Linked DNA regions of Tamandua tetradactyla. The protein of the gene in region 2 purifies or fractionates together with the protein of the main gene of each other region. This does not show direct contact. Links are inferred from orthologs where the notes say so. Each region holds a gene or a part of one and is shown on either strand. Other genes may lie near its edges.

Region 1 (7,332 bases), on a different chromosome or scaffold from region 2:
GTGCATATTAAAACGTCTGGTACCCTCTCAGGAACTCATTCAGTAGGTCTGGTGTAGAGGCCAGGAATCTGCATTTTTTAACAAAGTAGCTTAGGTAATTCAGATGGCCAGTAGACCGAAATCCCCAAAAGACTGCTTTGGACTTTGTTTTTGTTTCCATTTGGCCCAGTTTTTTAAATAGTCTCTTTTTTTTCTCCTGAAGTCTGTTTCAGTCACTTTCTTTATTGAAGGATTTATTAGCATCTCTAGGTTTATTACATGTGTCATTCTCACAGCATCATGGTAACTAGAGAGAGAACCAAAGGTTGTTAGCCCCTTTTTATTGGGGGGCTGGCGTATAGGCATAGGAAGAGGAAGGTTATGATGGTTATAATGAGTCAGAGGCAGAGGTGGGAATTGAAGTACAGAACTGATGACTCTCAAAGCAGGCAGTTTTATGGGGCTTTATTTTCTTGGCCCATGATTTCATATTTAATCATAGTTATTCCTCAGGACTCCAGCTCACTGTGCTTGGGTAAGCAAAGCATATTTAAGTTTTAAACAAAATAACATCATCAGTGTGCCAAATTTGTTAGTATATGTAGTTAGTATATTAGCATCCTAGCTGCTAAAATAAATACGATACAATGGCTTGGTTTAACAACAGGAATTTATTATTAAAAATTCAGAGGCTAGGTACTTAAAATTAGGCCTAAGAGTCACCTCCAAGAGAACCTCTTTTGTTGCTCAGATGTGGCCTCTCTCTCAGCCAAGACAAGCCAACTCACAGCCCTCCACCTCTTTACATGGGACATGGCTCCCAGGGGTGTGGACCTTCCTAGCAATGTAAGATAGAAATCCTAGGATAAGCTGGGACTCAGCATCAAGGGATTGAGAAAACCTTCTGGACCAAAAGGGGGAAGATCGAAATGAGACAAAGTGTCAATGGCTGAGAGATTCCAAACAGAGTTGAGAGGTTATCCTGGAGGTTATTCTTACATATTATATAGATACCACCTTTTTTAGTTAAGGTGTAATGGAGAGGCTGGAGGGAACTGCCTGAAAATATAGAGCTGTGTTCCAGTAGCTATGTTTCTTGAAGATGACTGTATAATGATATAGCTTTTGCAGTGTGACTGTGTGATTGTGAAAACCTCGTGTCTGATGCTGTTTTTATCTACCTTATTGACAGATGAGTAAAACATATGGATTAAAAATAAATAAATAATAGGTGGAACAAATGTTAAAATAAATTTAGTAGATTGAAATGCTGGTGATTGGTAAGGGGGACAAGTAGGAGGTATGGTATGTATGAATTTTTTTCTTTTTATTTCTTTTTCTGAATTGATGCAAATGTTCTAAGAGGTGATCGTGGTGATGAATATACAACTATGTGATGATATTGTGAGTTATTGTTTATATACCAAGAATGGAATGACCATATGGTAAGAATGTTTGTGTTTGTATGCTGTTATGTTTAAAAAATTTTTTTAAATTAAGAAAAAAAAAATTCAGAGGCTAGAATGGCTTGTTACCTCCCGGGGTCAGTTTATTCTGGCTGTCTGGCAATCTCTGGGGTTCCTTGGCTTTTCTATCACATTGTAATGCCCATGACAGCATCAAAATTCTCCTTTCTCTTCCCAGTTCATTGATTTCCAATTTATCCCTCTGTGGCTTCTTACTGTTTGTCAATTTCCTTTGCTTCTGTTGGATTAAGGTCCACCCTCATTGAGTTTGGGCACAGTTTATATAATAACATCTTCAAAGGCTCTATTTACAAGTAGGTTAATACCCACAGGACCAGGGGTTGGGACCTGAACATGCCTTTTGTGGGATGGTGGGGAGGGCGACATGATTTAATCCCCAACAAGGCTCTTCTAAACTTGAGCTACTATCTAGAAGATAATATGTGTGAAACTGATCTGATCTACTTCTCTGTGCTTGCTTATCATTTCTGAAGCCTTTTTACATAAAGTATATGGGAACAGATTTCTCCTCCCTCTACCAAAATGTCCTTCTGATCCTCTTCTAACTGTTAAAATCCTCTGTGTCCTCAAACTTGAGTAGTATATGGATCATTTTTAAAGTAAAAAAAATCCTAAAAATTCTTGATTTAAATTATTTTTTATTACAGTGTTACTTAGCTTTACAAATACAAATCAGGAATATCAAGTCCTTTTATTTACCTTTCTTCCAACTGAAAAAAAGTAAAATAAAACACGTTTACAATTAAATACAAATGAAACCACAAACTAGTAATATTTGTATTGATAATATAGTAACTTAACATGACAAATGATGCTGTTTTGCTGAAACTAAACCATACCTTGTATCTTAACCATGGTATTGCTTGGCAAAGTTCAGCTACTTTTTTTTTTAATTAAAAAAAATTTTTTTAAATACCAAAAAACACCAAATAAACTCAAACATTCGTAACTTTTGATCATTCTATTCTACGTATATAATCAGTAATTCACAATATTAGTTCAGCTATTTTTGAATTTATATGCCTATGACACCAAGTGACCATCAGTATCCGAATTTTCTTACACTTTCCTCTGTTAGAAGTACTGAGACTATGCAGACCCGTGATGTCATTTGGTTTTCACTTTCTGCATAAAAGCATCAATTTTATTTTAAATCTACCTCTGTTCCTTTCTTACTATCCCAGAAGAATAAAAAGAGCCCTGAAACACACAGGCAAATGTAGGTGCTGAAATTGTATGGCAATCCTAGGATATAAGGTGGTCATCCAAGTAATCCAAAAATTACTTATGCAAATCTAAAAATAATTATCGAAATGAAAACAAATTAAAACCCTAGAGAATACATCTGCAGGCCTAATGTAAGAACACTGTTCAGGTACTTTGGTAACTTTTCTCTACTACCAAAAACCATGTTTACTATGTTTACTTCCAGGGACCCTATGTTTAAAAAAATTTTTTTTTCTCCTAAGTTGCATTTATTAATTGTTAATCAGACACATAGAATTACCATTCCAGAGCTTGTGATCAAGCATATGTGGTTCTCACTCTGAGTTGCTTAAATTTCAGTTCAAAGAAAAAAAAAAAAGATGTTTCAGTTATTCTGTGCTCCCTTAACAAGGGTAAATGAAAATTTTACATTAGGTTTTGTAATAAGAAAGAATTCAAAAACCTTACCTCTAACCATTGCTGCTTTTGAGAACTGTTGGAAGTCTAGGAAGGCCATTTTAGGTTTTTCCTGTACAAGTCAAATAGCCACCCCACCCACTTTGAAGAATTAGGCTTGTCCTAGTTTTATTTCTAGCATGTTAAGGAGCTAAAAAAATAAGGAGAAAGAAAATACAACACAAGGTTATACCATCTCAGTCTTTATCCTTTCTTCTGATTTCATTTGTGCCCCCAGGCCTCCTCCCTCTATCATTTTCACATTCAGCTTCCTTCAGGGTTTTAACATTATTGTATTACAGTTAGGTAGTATTGTGCTATCCATTTCTGAATTGATGCAAATGTTCTAAGAAATGATCATGATGATGAATATACAACTGTGTAATGATATTGTGAGTTATTGATTATACAACAAGAATGGAATGATCATATGATAAGAATGTTTGTGTTTATATGTGGTTATGTTTCATAAATAAAGAAAATAAGAAAATACAACACAAGGGACAATTCCAGATCCAAGATTGAAAAGAAACACAAAAACAAGAAAGCAGTATGTTTTTAACAGCTTGCGTAGAGAAAGTGGAAAAAATACTGACTGGGGAGTTTGGAAGGCACTGTTCATTTTCTCTCACCGCCTACGTCATCTGCCTTATAGAGCAGAAGCTAGAATCAGTAATCCGGGCGAATAGGCCTTAGGAGGAGGTTTTGCAGACGTCTGAGGCTGGAGAAATTTGTGCTGGAGACCCCAGTTGATAAGGGCCAGGATGAAAGCAGAGAAAGGAGTCCAAGTCTTCCCCTCTCCCTCCGGCCTTGGGAATCCTGTTTGGCATGCCCGTGTGTTAACAGAGCTCAGTAAGGATCACTTAGGTAGGTCCCTGGCCCCTTCAGACCACAACGAGATGGAAGAATCCCAGTTCGTGCGTCTCTGGGCTGAAGTAACGGCGCGGGGCATCCAGTCAGCGAAACCTTCTGGAGTTCAGATGTACAGGTCTTGCACCTGGGGTCCAGTAGGAACCTCCGCTAGCCGGCAGGAGAGATTCGGCTTCCGGGGTTGGGTTCCGCCGAGCCCGCGCGTGGGCCTTGGCTCCTCCTCCTTGGGCCTGGGCGCGGGGCGGGGCGGAGTAGGGGCGGGGCCTGGGCGCCGAGAAGGCGGTGGCGACCCGCGAGAAGAGGAAGAACATGGCGGGCGCGGCTGGGCCCGGCACCGACTCGGGGGCCGCGGGCGGGGATGGAGACGATTCGCTATACCCGATCGCGGTTTTAATCGACGAGCTCCGCAATGAAGACGTGCAGGTACTGAGCTCGGCCGGGGAGCTCAGATGGGCAGGGCCAGCGCCTGGTAGGCAAGGGGGAAGGCCGGAGACTCGGAGCAGAAACTTGAGGGTGAGGAGAGGAAGACTTGCGAGGGGCTGTGGTGGCCCGGCCTTTCCGGCAGCTCACCGACTCTTACTTCTCCCGACCTCCTGAGGCGCATCGGCCCGCGCCCGACCCGGTCTAGGCGGTTGTCGGACTACCGGCTTCCTTCCTGGACGCCTCTTCCGGACGGTGCGGTGGAAAACGCTGTTCTGCCTGGGGCCGGCTCCCTTGTGGAGCCGGAGGAAGGGGTTCCCCGCCGCGGGTCGCAGGGTGCCTTAAGGGCCCCTTGGTGAGCAGATGAAATGCCTTCCCAAGGATTAGAAACTGGCCGGGCTTGTTGGGTAGACAGATCCAGGATGGTTGAGTTAGCGTATCATCTTTGATGGAACTTTTCTTTGAACATTCAGGAGTTGTATTCGACCGTTTCACTTAACCACTGCTAAATTCTTTTTAAAATTATCTCACTTCCTGGGTATTGAATTCTTTTTCGTTTATTTTTTTTTCTGAATGTTGCTCCTAGGAAATCTTGCTCTGGCTAATGAGGCCATGCTACGGTGCACCAGAGGTTCCTCAAGGAATAAAATCTAAATTGAGTGCTTTCTTCACTCTTACCCTGTCTCATTATAATCACCATCTTGCAACTATGGCTTTCTCTTTTGGTCTAAATTGCAATCGTTTCTTTACTTTGTTATTCCGTATTCTTTTTAAAAAGCTCCGTCTCAACAGTATTAAGAAGTTATCAACAATTGCTCTAGCACTTGGAGTAGAAAGGACTCGAACTGAACTGCTGCCGTTCCTTACTGGTATGTGAATGTTCCTTTAAAGAAGGGCATGGGTATTTCCATTTTCCAGTGACTTCCAAAACCTTGTCTGTTTTTTAGAGTTGGTAACCACAATATTAACTAATCTGAGCCGGGTGCTTTCTGTGTAAAACAGTGTAAAGAATATTGTAATGTGGTCATATGTATTCAAACATTAATTATTTAGCTAGTTTAAAATTGATCATTGATATGGGAGTATTAATTTGTAATTCATTCTGTAAAACATATCCAGGAAAACTTCCTTAATTGAGGAGAAGGAAGGAAATCCTGTTAAAATTGTGACTTGCTTATCTTATTAGCCATATATTGTACTCCAAGTTTTGTATGAGTATCTGACTTTGGACCAGCTACCTTTTGATGAATACCTTGTTGTCATTTCCAGATACAATTTATGATGAAGATGAGGTGCTGTTAGCTCTTGCTGAGCAACTGGGAAATTTCACTGGACTTGTTGGAGGTCCTGACTTTGCCCACTGTCTGCTGGTGAGTGCTTATATGCTCTCTCTACCCTCCTTTTAGGACGTCTGCAGTATAAATGATACGTTGTTTGGTGATAACCTCACTGTAGCACCGTGTGCAGTCTCTTTGTAGTCACTATAGCTATGGAGAGAACAAATAATGTAAGCAGTTTGGAGTCAGTCATCCCTTTCTTATTTTTTCTTACCTGTGAATACAAGAACTTCTTCTTTCCTTTTCTGTCTCTATTGACTTTTTTATTATTTTAGAGGAGGGGCAAGAAAGGATTTGATTTAAAAAAAAAACAGCTTTATTGAGATATAATTCACATACCATCCCCTTCACCCTTTGAAAGTATATAACTCAACTCAGTGGTTTTTACTTCCTTCACAGGTTTGTGCTGATTTTTTAAAAAACATAATTATGTGATTTTTTTCATTGTAAAATACACATAACAGAATTTTCCATTTTAACTATAAAGTTAATTCACTAGAATTTTAGTACATTTACAGTGTTGTGCAATTAATAACCACAATCTAATTCAAGTTCATTTTCATCATCCTAGATGGAAACAGTGTGCCCAATAAGCAGTTATTCTTCATCCTTTCCTCTCCCTAACCTATTCTGCTTTCTGTCTCTGTGAATTTGCCTATTCTGGACATTTCATATAAACAAAATCATATAATATGTGTTCTTTTGTGACTGGCTTCTTTCACTTAGTGCAGTGTTTTCAAGATTCACACATGTTGTAGCCTGTATCAGTACTTCATTTCTTTTCATAGCCAAATAATATTCCATTATATGGGTATACCACATTTTGTTTATCATTCATCAGTTGATGGACATTTGTGTTGTTTCCATCTTTTAACTATTGACAGTACTGCTGCCATGAACATTCATATACAAGTTTTTATTTGAATACTTGTTTTCAGTTCTTTTATGTATATACGTAGGAGTACACTTGCCAGGTCACATAGTAATTCTTTTTAACTTTTGGAGGAGCTGCAGAATTGCTTTCTATACTGGTTTGCACCATTTAACATTCCTACAAACATTTCACAAACAGTGTATAAGGTTTCTACTTTCTCTGTTTCCTTGCCAACACTTTTTTTTTTTTAATAAGAACTATCCTAGTGGGTGTAAAGTGGTATCTCATTGCGGTTTTGATTTATTTATTTTTGTTGTTTTTGATTATGCTTCCCCACCCCCAAATTTGAAGTCTTAATTTTCGTCCAGCTATGTGACTATTTGGGAGATGTTTATTACCTTTTTGTCTTTGTAGTGTAACTTTTGCTCTGACTTATCTTGTGAATTTGATTTCAGTTCAATTTAGCTGACATTTATTGAGCACCTACTATATCAGACACAGAAATTATAATGTTATTGTTAAAGAGAATGTAATGAAGTCTCTGGTCTTTGCCCTTATATATAAGCAAATGTAATTATTGTGTAGTGTTAAGAAGAAAAATAGACCCACATACAAGATACCTAAGTAACAAAGGAGAAAGAGATTAATTCAGGGTGATTGGAGAAGACCTCGTGGGAGATGATAACTGAGCTAGATTTTGAAG
Region 2 (7,188 bases):
CCAAGGACCAAGAATGAGCAACCAGCATGGAGAACCAAGCCCCACAATTTCAGGGCATCTCAGAACGCCAACTTCTCACTCAGGGACTCACGGCAGCTATTTCTGAAGCTCTTGAAAATAAACCGGGGGCAGATATTTCTCTCAGCATCTTAATCATATAGTCATCACACATAAAATGTCAAAAAAGAACCCAATAAAGGATGATATCGTCCATATTTTAAGACTTCAACTTCTGTGTGAGACTAAAGGAAGAGATTTTTATTTGGTGCAAAATTTATATTTTGGGTAGTGCATTTCCTAACTTAACTTGTATGGTAAGTTTAGCTGAACACCATAAGTACATAGAATCTTGAACAGGGCATAAGATTGTGTTGGTTTGTCCAGGTTAATGCGATGCTCTGATAAATACCAGAGAGATTTGGACAGTGAATAAATATTTGCAAAGTCCCGTTGGGGGAATGGGGAGAAAGGGGGAAATATTCAACTTCACCATTTGGAGAACTTCTGATATTCTCACAAGCAATGGGGACAACCAAATCAACAGGCCAAGCCCTCAATCTTGGGGTTTGCCCCTACTAAACCTATTCCTGCAAAGGATAGGCTAAGCCTGCTTAAAATTAGGCCTAATAATCACCCCCAAAGAACCTCTTTTGTTGCTCAAATATGGCCTCGCTCTCTAAGACCATACAGCAAGCGATTTACATCCAGCGGTGTAAATCTCCCTGGGAAATCCCAGGATGAGACAGGACCGGCATCGAGGGATTGAGAAAGCCTTCTTGATCACAAGGGGGAAGAGAGAAATGAGACAAAATAGTGTCAGTGGCTGAGAGATTTCAAACAGAACTGAGAAGTTAACCTGGAGGTTATTATTATGCATTATATAGACATCCCTTTTTAGTTTATGGTGTATTGGAGTGGCTATCAGGAAGTACCTGAAACTGTGGAGCTGTGTTCCAGTAGCCTTGTTTCTTCAAGATGATTGTATAATGATATAGCTTTTACAATGTGACTTGTGACTGATTGTGAAAACCTTGTGTCTAATGCTCCTTTTATCTAGGGTACAGAAAGATGAGTAAAAAACATGGATAAAAATAAACAAATAATAAGGTGAACAAAGGTTAAAGTAAATTGGGTTGATGGAAATGCTAGTTGTCAATGAGAAGGAGGGGTAAGTGGTATGGTATATATGAACTTTTTCCTTTCAATTTCTTTTTCTGGAGTGATGCAAATGTTCTAGAAAATATTCATGGTGATGGATACACACAGTGATGCAAATGTTCTAAAATATGATCATGGTGATGAATACACAACTATGTGATGATATCGTGAGTCACTGATTGTACACCATTTATGGAATGTTTGTATGTTTGTATGTCAAGTTTTGTCAATAAAAAATATTAAAATAAATAAAAGAACCTAAAGCCTGGAGGCTTCATTCCGCACCCATCAGCAAACCCAATCCCCTGTGACCCCAGCTGGTTCACAAAAGCCTGCCCAGCAGTCAAGCAGCCGGTTCCCAGCGTTCCCAGACAGCTCCCACCTCCTGCAAGGGCCCTGAGCCTGGAACTGAACTGCACTCCCGCCTCTGCCTCCCATACAGAAGCTCCTGTGGGCGCCCCTGCACCCCTGATGGAGCACTCACGCTGGTGGGATCACGCTCCATTCTCTAAGGGCTGATTCCAATACCCGCCAACAGTCTAAGGCTGCCCCAAGCTCGCATTTACGAACAAAACCAAATGGCTAGATGAAGAGAAACGTGGCAACCAGAAGGGTCCATTCTACTTCACCATCACCTTTAAATCACACCTTTCTTTCAAAGAACAAAAAAATTGGGGGGGGGGGGGGAGCGAGGGAAGGGCGGGTCCAGTGGAAAGCTCCCACCGCGGGACCGGCAGAACCGTTCTCTGAAAACTGCACGGCCCACCTGAGTCCGCAGGTCCTGTCGGGAATCACCTAACGTCTGCAACTGCACACTGCGGTCAGGAGAACCATTAACCAAAGATGAATGCCAGATGTGATCTTCCAGGTGCCCTCCCAACGCCACGGGAATACACCGCACCTTCTGCCTTCCCTAGGCGTGGAGAGGGCCGAGTGAACTCCCCGGCCACATTTCCGAACTCCTTAGCCCGCGGGGATCAGGGTTCTCCCCATGCCTGTCCAGAAGTGCCGGAGCCCAGGCCCGGAGCGCCCCTAACCTTCAAATCTTCCACTCCCGGGTGAAATATAAATTCCTTAGTACAACCAACAACGCGCACCATCTCGATCCGCACCGTTCCTCGTACTCGGCAGCCAAGGCTCTTGTCTCAGGGGGTTCACACCCACATACAACCCAGAAACTTGCTCCTTACCTGGTTGGCAAATCCCCTGAGGTGAGCCATATCCCCCGCGGCGTCACACCATTCGCCTGCAACCCGAGGAGGCCTCCAGATGGCCGTCTGGATGCTCAGGAACCCGGCTCGCTCGCGAGGTTCGCTTCAGTCCACTGTGGCGGGGACAGCAGGCCTGCTCGGGCTTCCCTGGGGTCCCCGTGGCCGGGCCGCGCCCCACAGCCCCACCCGGCCGTCTCCACTCCCCTCCTGCAGACAGTGCCTGCCTCCGCGCCCCCGGCCGGTCCTGCCGAACGCCAAAGCACCCTCCGAGAGCCTCGCCGGCCGCGCACCCCCGGCTGCACGGGCTTCTCCCGCACCGCATCCCCCGGCCCGCCTCACTGCAGGGTCCTCCCTGGGCCCTGCCCGCCCCCGGTACCCGCCCCCCGACTCTCCTCCCACCACGGAGCCAGCCCGGCGGCCTCCCTCCGCCCCGCCCCGCTGCTCCGGGCCCCCCACCCTGTGTTCGGCCCCCTCCCCAACCGCCAGGGGAAGCCCTCGGGGCGGCGCGCCCACCTCCGGGGGGCTCCATCCCGGGCTCCCCCGGCCCGTTCCGCAGCGCCCGCGAAAGCCCCCACCCGCAGCCTCGGTCCGCCTGGGGAAGCCCGGGCCTCTCAGCCCCGAAATAAAGGTAGTTGCGGCGGCGCCGGAGAATGGCCGGCGGCGGGGAGAGATACGCGCGGCGTCGTGGCCCGGCCGCAGTGCTCTCTGGGACACCCAGTTCCACAGCGCGCCCTGCGGCGGGGCGCCGCGGACGGTGGACTACAAGCCCCAGCAGGAGCCGGGGCGGGCGGGTCCGGGAAGGGGTCGTGCGCGAAGGCACGCCCGCGAGGCTCGCTGGGACTTGGAGTCCCTCTTCCTAAGAAGCTCCGGACTCCGTCTCCCGGCAGGCCGCAGGGCAGGCGGCGGCGTCAGGACGGCGGGGGCGTCTCAGCCGGGCCCTCCACCCGCGTCCTGACTGGCGTTTGTCGTTCGCAGGCGCCGTCTGGGCTTCGCCTTGGTAAGCCACGACGGACCCTTCCCGAGCGCAGAGCCAGCCACGCCCTCGTCCCGTCCCCGGTCCCGCCCTGCTGCCCTCCCCGGGCGCCCGCGCCCTGCTAGTTCGCCTCGGGATCCCGATTCCCGCCCGGCCCTCAGCGAGAACCTCTTCCCAGGACGGCCTCAGTATCCTCCCACAACCGGGTTCGCGGCCGCGGCTCCCTCAGACCGCTGAGAGGCCATCCAGTGTGATCGCTTCCCTCTCCTGCCTTGGTTTCTCCATCTTGGTTTCCCTCCAGGACCCACCTGATGGCGCGGGGACACCTGCGGACAAAGCCCGTCGCTGAGGGGCGCTCATGGTCTCATGGGCTGTTGGCGCCCCCAGCTGACGCACCCCTGGCCCTGGACGGTGACCCGCCCTGTCCAGGGGCTCAGGAAGATCTGCGGAAGGGAGGACAGAGTGCGCTTCCCAGACAGGTCGCAGGGCCAGCGGCTGGACGGCCCCAGGGTGCGGACGTCAGGGCAGCCACCACCACTGCCCGCGAAGCCTTGGAGGCCCGCGCCGTGCCCCTGGCAGCGCCTTCCTAGTGCACCCTTGTCCTGTGGAAAAGGCTTGTTTCTTCTGCCTTGGGTGGGCCCTCCAAGACCATCTGGACACCCCGTGCTCCTGCTGTCCCTCAGAACGGAGCTGGTCCTCCTGAGTTACTTCAGTCTCCTAAGTACAGGGGCTTCCTGGCTGTGCATGGAAGGCCCCCTGCGCACCTGTGTGCAGGTCACTCGTGGCCACCTGATCTTTCACGGGTTGTGTTATTTACCGTCAGCTAAGCACTGGCAAGCAGGCTGTGCCTACATCCTCCCCACACAGGGCAGGCATGCAGTGAAAGTTGTGGAGTGAATGTGTGAGTGCAGGAAAGTAATATGTATGAATAACTCCTCTTAGATCCATCAGAGAATTGAGGGCACAGGGCAAACTACCCGAAAAACTGGAGAGAGAGGCAGAAATGTCTCAGCTTATCAAGGGCAGGAACTGCAGCAGAGCCACCCTCAGCAGGACAGCTTACAGGGTAGTTGACTACTTCAGGCCAATGAAGATGGATTAGCATGAGAAAGAAAATTTCCAGGGGGTCCCAGGGAGACCCCTACACTTTCTTGAAGTCTGTCTCTAGGGGTACCACCAAATTACTGCTGTGAAGATGAGAGAAAAAAATCTCCTCATGCTTCCAGCACAAGGGGAAGGGACCATTGTGAATAGTGTCCTTGTTCCCTTATAAATAAATGTCTGTCCCCCGGGGAAACTCTCTTACCAGCACCTCGCCAACACAGGTCTTACCAGAGTTGGACAACCCCCAGAGGGAAATAACCAACTCCAGCCTCATCTAACCTTCTGCAAGCAGGGAAGGAAGGACCCAGAGCTAGTCCACTTTAGCCTTCCTGCTTCACCTAAGGGGTCAAAACAAAACAAAAAATACAGATGAAAAATACTGGGTCACAACCTAGGGTCACAGGCTCACTAAAAGACCAAGACTAACTGTAGGACTCTTCTTGTCCCACATCAGTAGGGCTCCTAGATAAGAACAGGGATTATAGCTGAAAAGAACTCCAGAGTTCTGGCCCTATTTAAGGAGAAATCTCCAAGGAAATACAGAGACATAAACAAGGACCCTAGAGGAAATTTTAGCCTTTGACATCACAGCTACAGCAAACAATAAACACAACCTATCTTCTAGCTTGATACATTTAAAATCCTCAGTTAAAGGCCTATTCACCTCTGTTCCTATTGCCTCATACATCATGTCCAACTTTCAATAAAAAACTACGAGTCATGCCAAAAGGCCAAAAACACAGTCTAAAGAAGCAGAACAAGCATCAAATGAGACTCAAACATGGCAGAGATTTTGGAATAAAGTGGAAATTTAAACTATAATTTATGTGCAGAAAACTCTAGTGGAAAAAAGTGAATGATATGCAAGAACAGATGAGTAATGTAAGCAGAAAGATGCAAACTCTAAAAAAAGAAAATCAAATGCTAGAGAACCGCACTCTGATCAAAATGGCAGAATGAGAAGCTACAGGGCTCTGTGTCCACTACAGGAGATTTGAACAACCAGCAAGAACTGCCCAAAGCAGCTTTCTCAAAACTCCAGAAAACAGTTAAAGGACTGCACTAAAAGAGCAAACACCAAATCAAGAAAAGGGGATCTTAAAACCAGTAGAATCTCGTGGTACCCTGGCTGTCCTCTCTCCACCCTCCCTAGCATGGCCCTGGCCCATGCTCCCACTGTGGATCCCTGGTCTTCGCTCTGGAGGGAGCTGAGTCACCCTTGTGCACATGCTGGGAGCAGGGGGGTCTGGCCCAGTCTCACTGGTGGTGGCCTGAGGGACTCGCTGTCCCAGAACCTGCCCTGTGTGTAGAAGGTGGGTCACAGAGTTCTCCTACAGGGCTGTGGGGACCAGGCCAGTGGCTGCCTGGGGCAGGGGACTGCTCGCTGAACAACACACAGTGCAGGGCCAGGGACTGTGAGGAAACTGTTCCTTAAAGAAGAGGGGACATTCTCAGCCATTTAAACAGAGGGACTCCTAGGGCCATTCACACATGCCTGTGACCTGTGCATATGCTGAAAGGATCAGGGAGGTCCCTACACTTTGGCCTCAAACTATTCTCTAAACTCATTATCTAGGTAAGCTCTGAAAGAGAGCACTCAAGCAAGTCAGTCTGCAAAGACTGGGAAAGGTATTTTCTTTAATTTCTTCCATTTTTTTTTGTTTGTTTATTTTTTGTTTCTTATATTTTGGTTAGCTCCTGGCATTCAAGGAAAGCTCGGATCCAACACTACCTGGATACAAGCTTAAAGAATAGTTGCCTCAGAAAGTAAATTCCAGCAGTAACACACTAAAACATGAAAATGTCCAGGTTTCAACAAAACATTCAAAGAAACAGGAAGCAATGTCCCAGGCAAAGGAGAAGATTAAAGTGCTGGAGACCAACAATGAGGAGGACCAGACCTGGTACATACCAGACGAAGACTTAAAAAAAAAAAAAAGAAAAAAAGTTCTAGTGAGAAGCGGCTGCAAAACCGAGCACAGGAGGCAGGAAGCCTAGTGCAAGCAGTAGTTGGGCACCATGGCGGGGATCACCACCATCGAGGAATTGAAGTGCAAGATCTACGTTCTATAGCAGCAGGTCAGTGATGCTGAGGAGAGAGCCGAGCACCTCCAGCGGGAAGTGGAGGGAGGAAGGGAGGCCGGGGAACAGGCTGTGGCTGAAGTGGCCTCCTTGAACTGAAGGATCCAACTGGTTGAAGAAGAGCTAGACTGCTGAGCGCCTGGCCACTACCCTGCAAAAGCTGGGGAAGCAGAGAAAACTGCTGAGGAGTACGAGAGAAGTATGAAGGTTATTGAAAACTGGGCTTTAAAAGATGGAACTCCAGGAAATTCAACTCAAAGAAGCTAAGCACATCACAGAAGAGGCAGATCGGAAGTACGAGGAGGTGGCTCGTAAGTTGCTGATTATTGAAGAGGATTTGGAACGCACTGAGTAAGGAGCTGAGCTGGCAGAGTCCCGTTGCCAAGACATGAATGAGCAGATCGGCCTGATGGACCAGAACCTGAAATGTCTGAGTGCTGCTGAAGAAAAGTACTCTCAAGAAGAAGACAAATATGAAGAAGAGATAAAGATTCTTACTGATAAACTTAAGGAGGTAGAGCGAGTTTGCTGAGAGATCAGTAGCCAAGCTGGAAAAGACAATTAATGATTTGGAAGATAAACTGAAAACCACCGAAGAGGAGCATCTCTGTACACAGAGAATGCTGGACCAGACTCTGCTTGACCTGAATGAGATGTAGA

What was found.
Region 1: the proteins of STK25 (region 2) and PPP2R1B purify together in Homo sapiens (affinity purification with mass spectrometry; 3 studies listed by BioGRID and IntAct, with this or other methods). This does not show direct contact. The link is inferred for Tamandua tetradactyla from reciprocal best matches to the Homo sapiens genes STK25 and PPP2R1B.

What each region holds. Positions count from the first base shown.
Region 1 is NC_135334.1:29,613,592-29,620,923, forward strand, and holds the start of PPP2R1B (serine/threonine-protein phosphatase 2A 65 kDa regulatory subunit A beta isoform), read left to right. Parts: upstream 1-4,259; 5' UTR 4,260-4,307; coding exon 4,308-4,421; intron 4,422-5,196; coding exon 5,197-5,287; intron 5,288-5,687; coding exon 5,688-5,788; intron 5,789-7,332. UniProt on the Homo sapiens protein: The PR65 subunit of protein phosphatase 2A serves as a scaffolding molecule to coordinate the assembly of the catalytic subunit and a variable regulatory B subunit.
Region 2 is NC_135329.1:80,165,877-80,173,064, forward strand, and holds the start of STK25 (serine/threonine-protein kinase 25), read right to left. Parts: upstream 3,075-7,188; 5' UTR 2,883-3,074; intron 2,503-2,882; 5' UTR 2,379-2,502; coding exon 2,349-2,378; intron 1-2,348. UniProt on the Homo sapiens protein: Oxidant stress-activated serine/threonine kinase that may play a role in the response to environmental stress.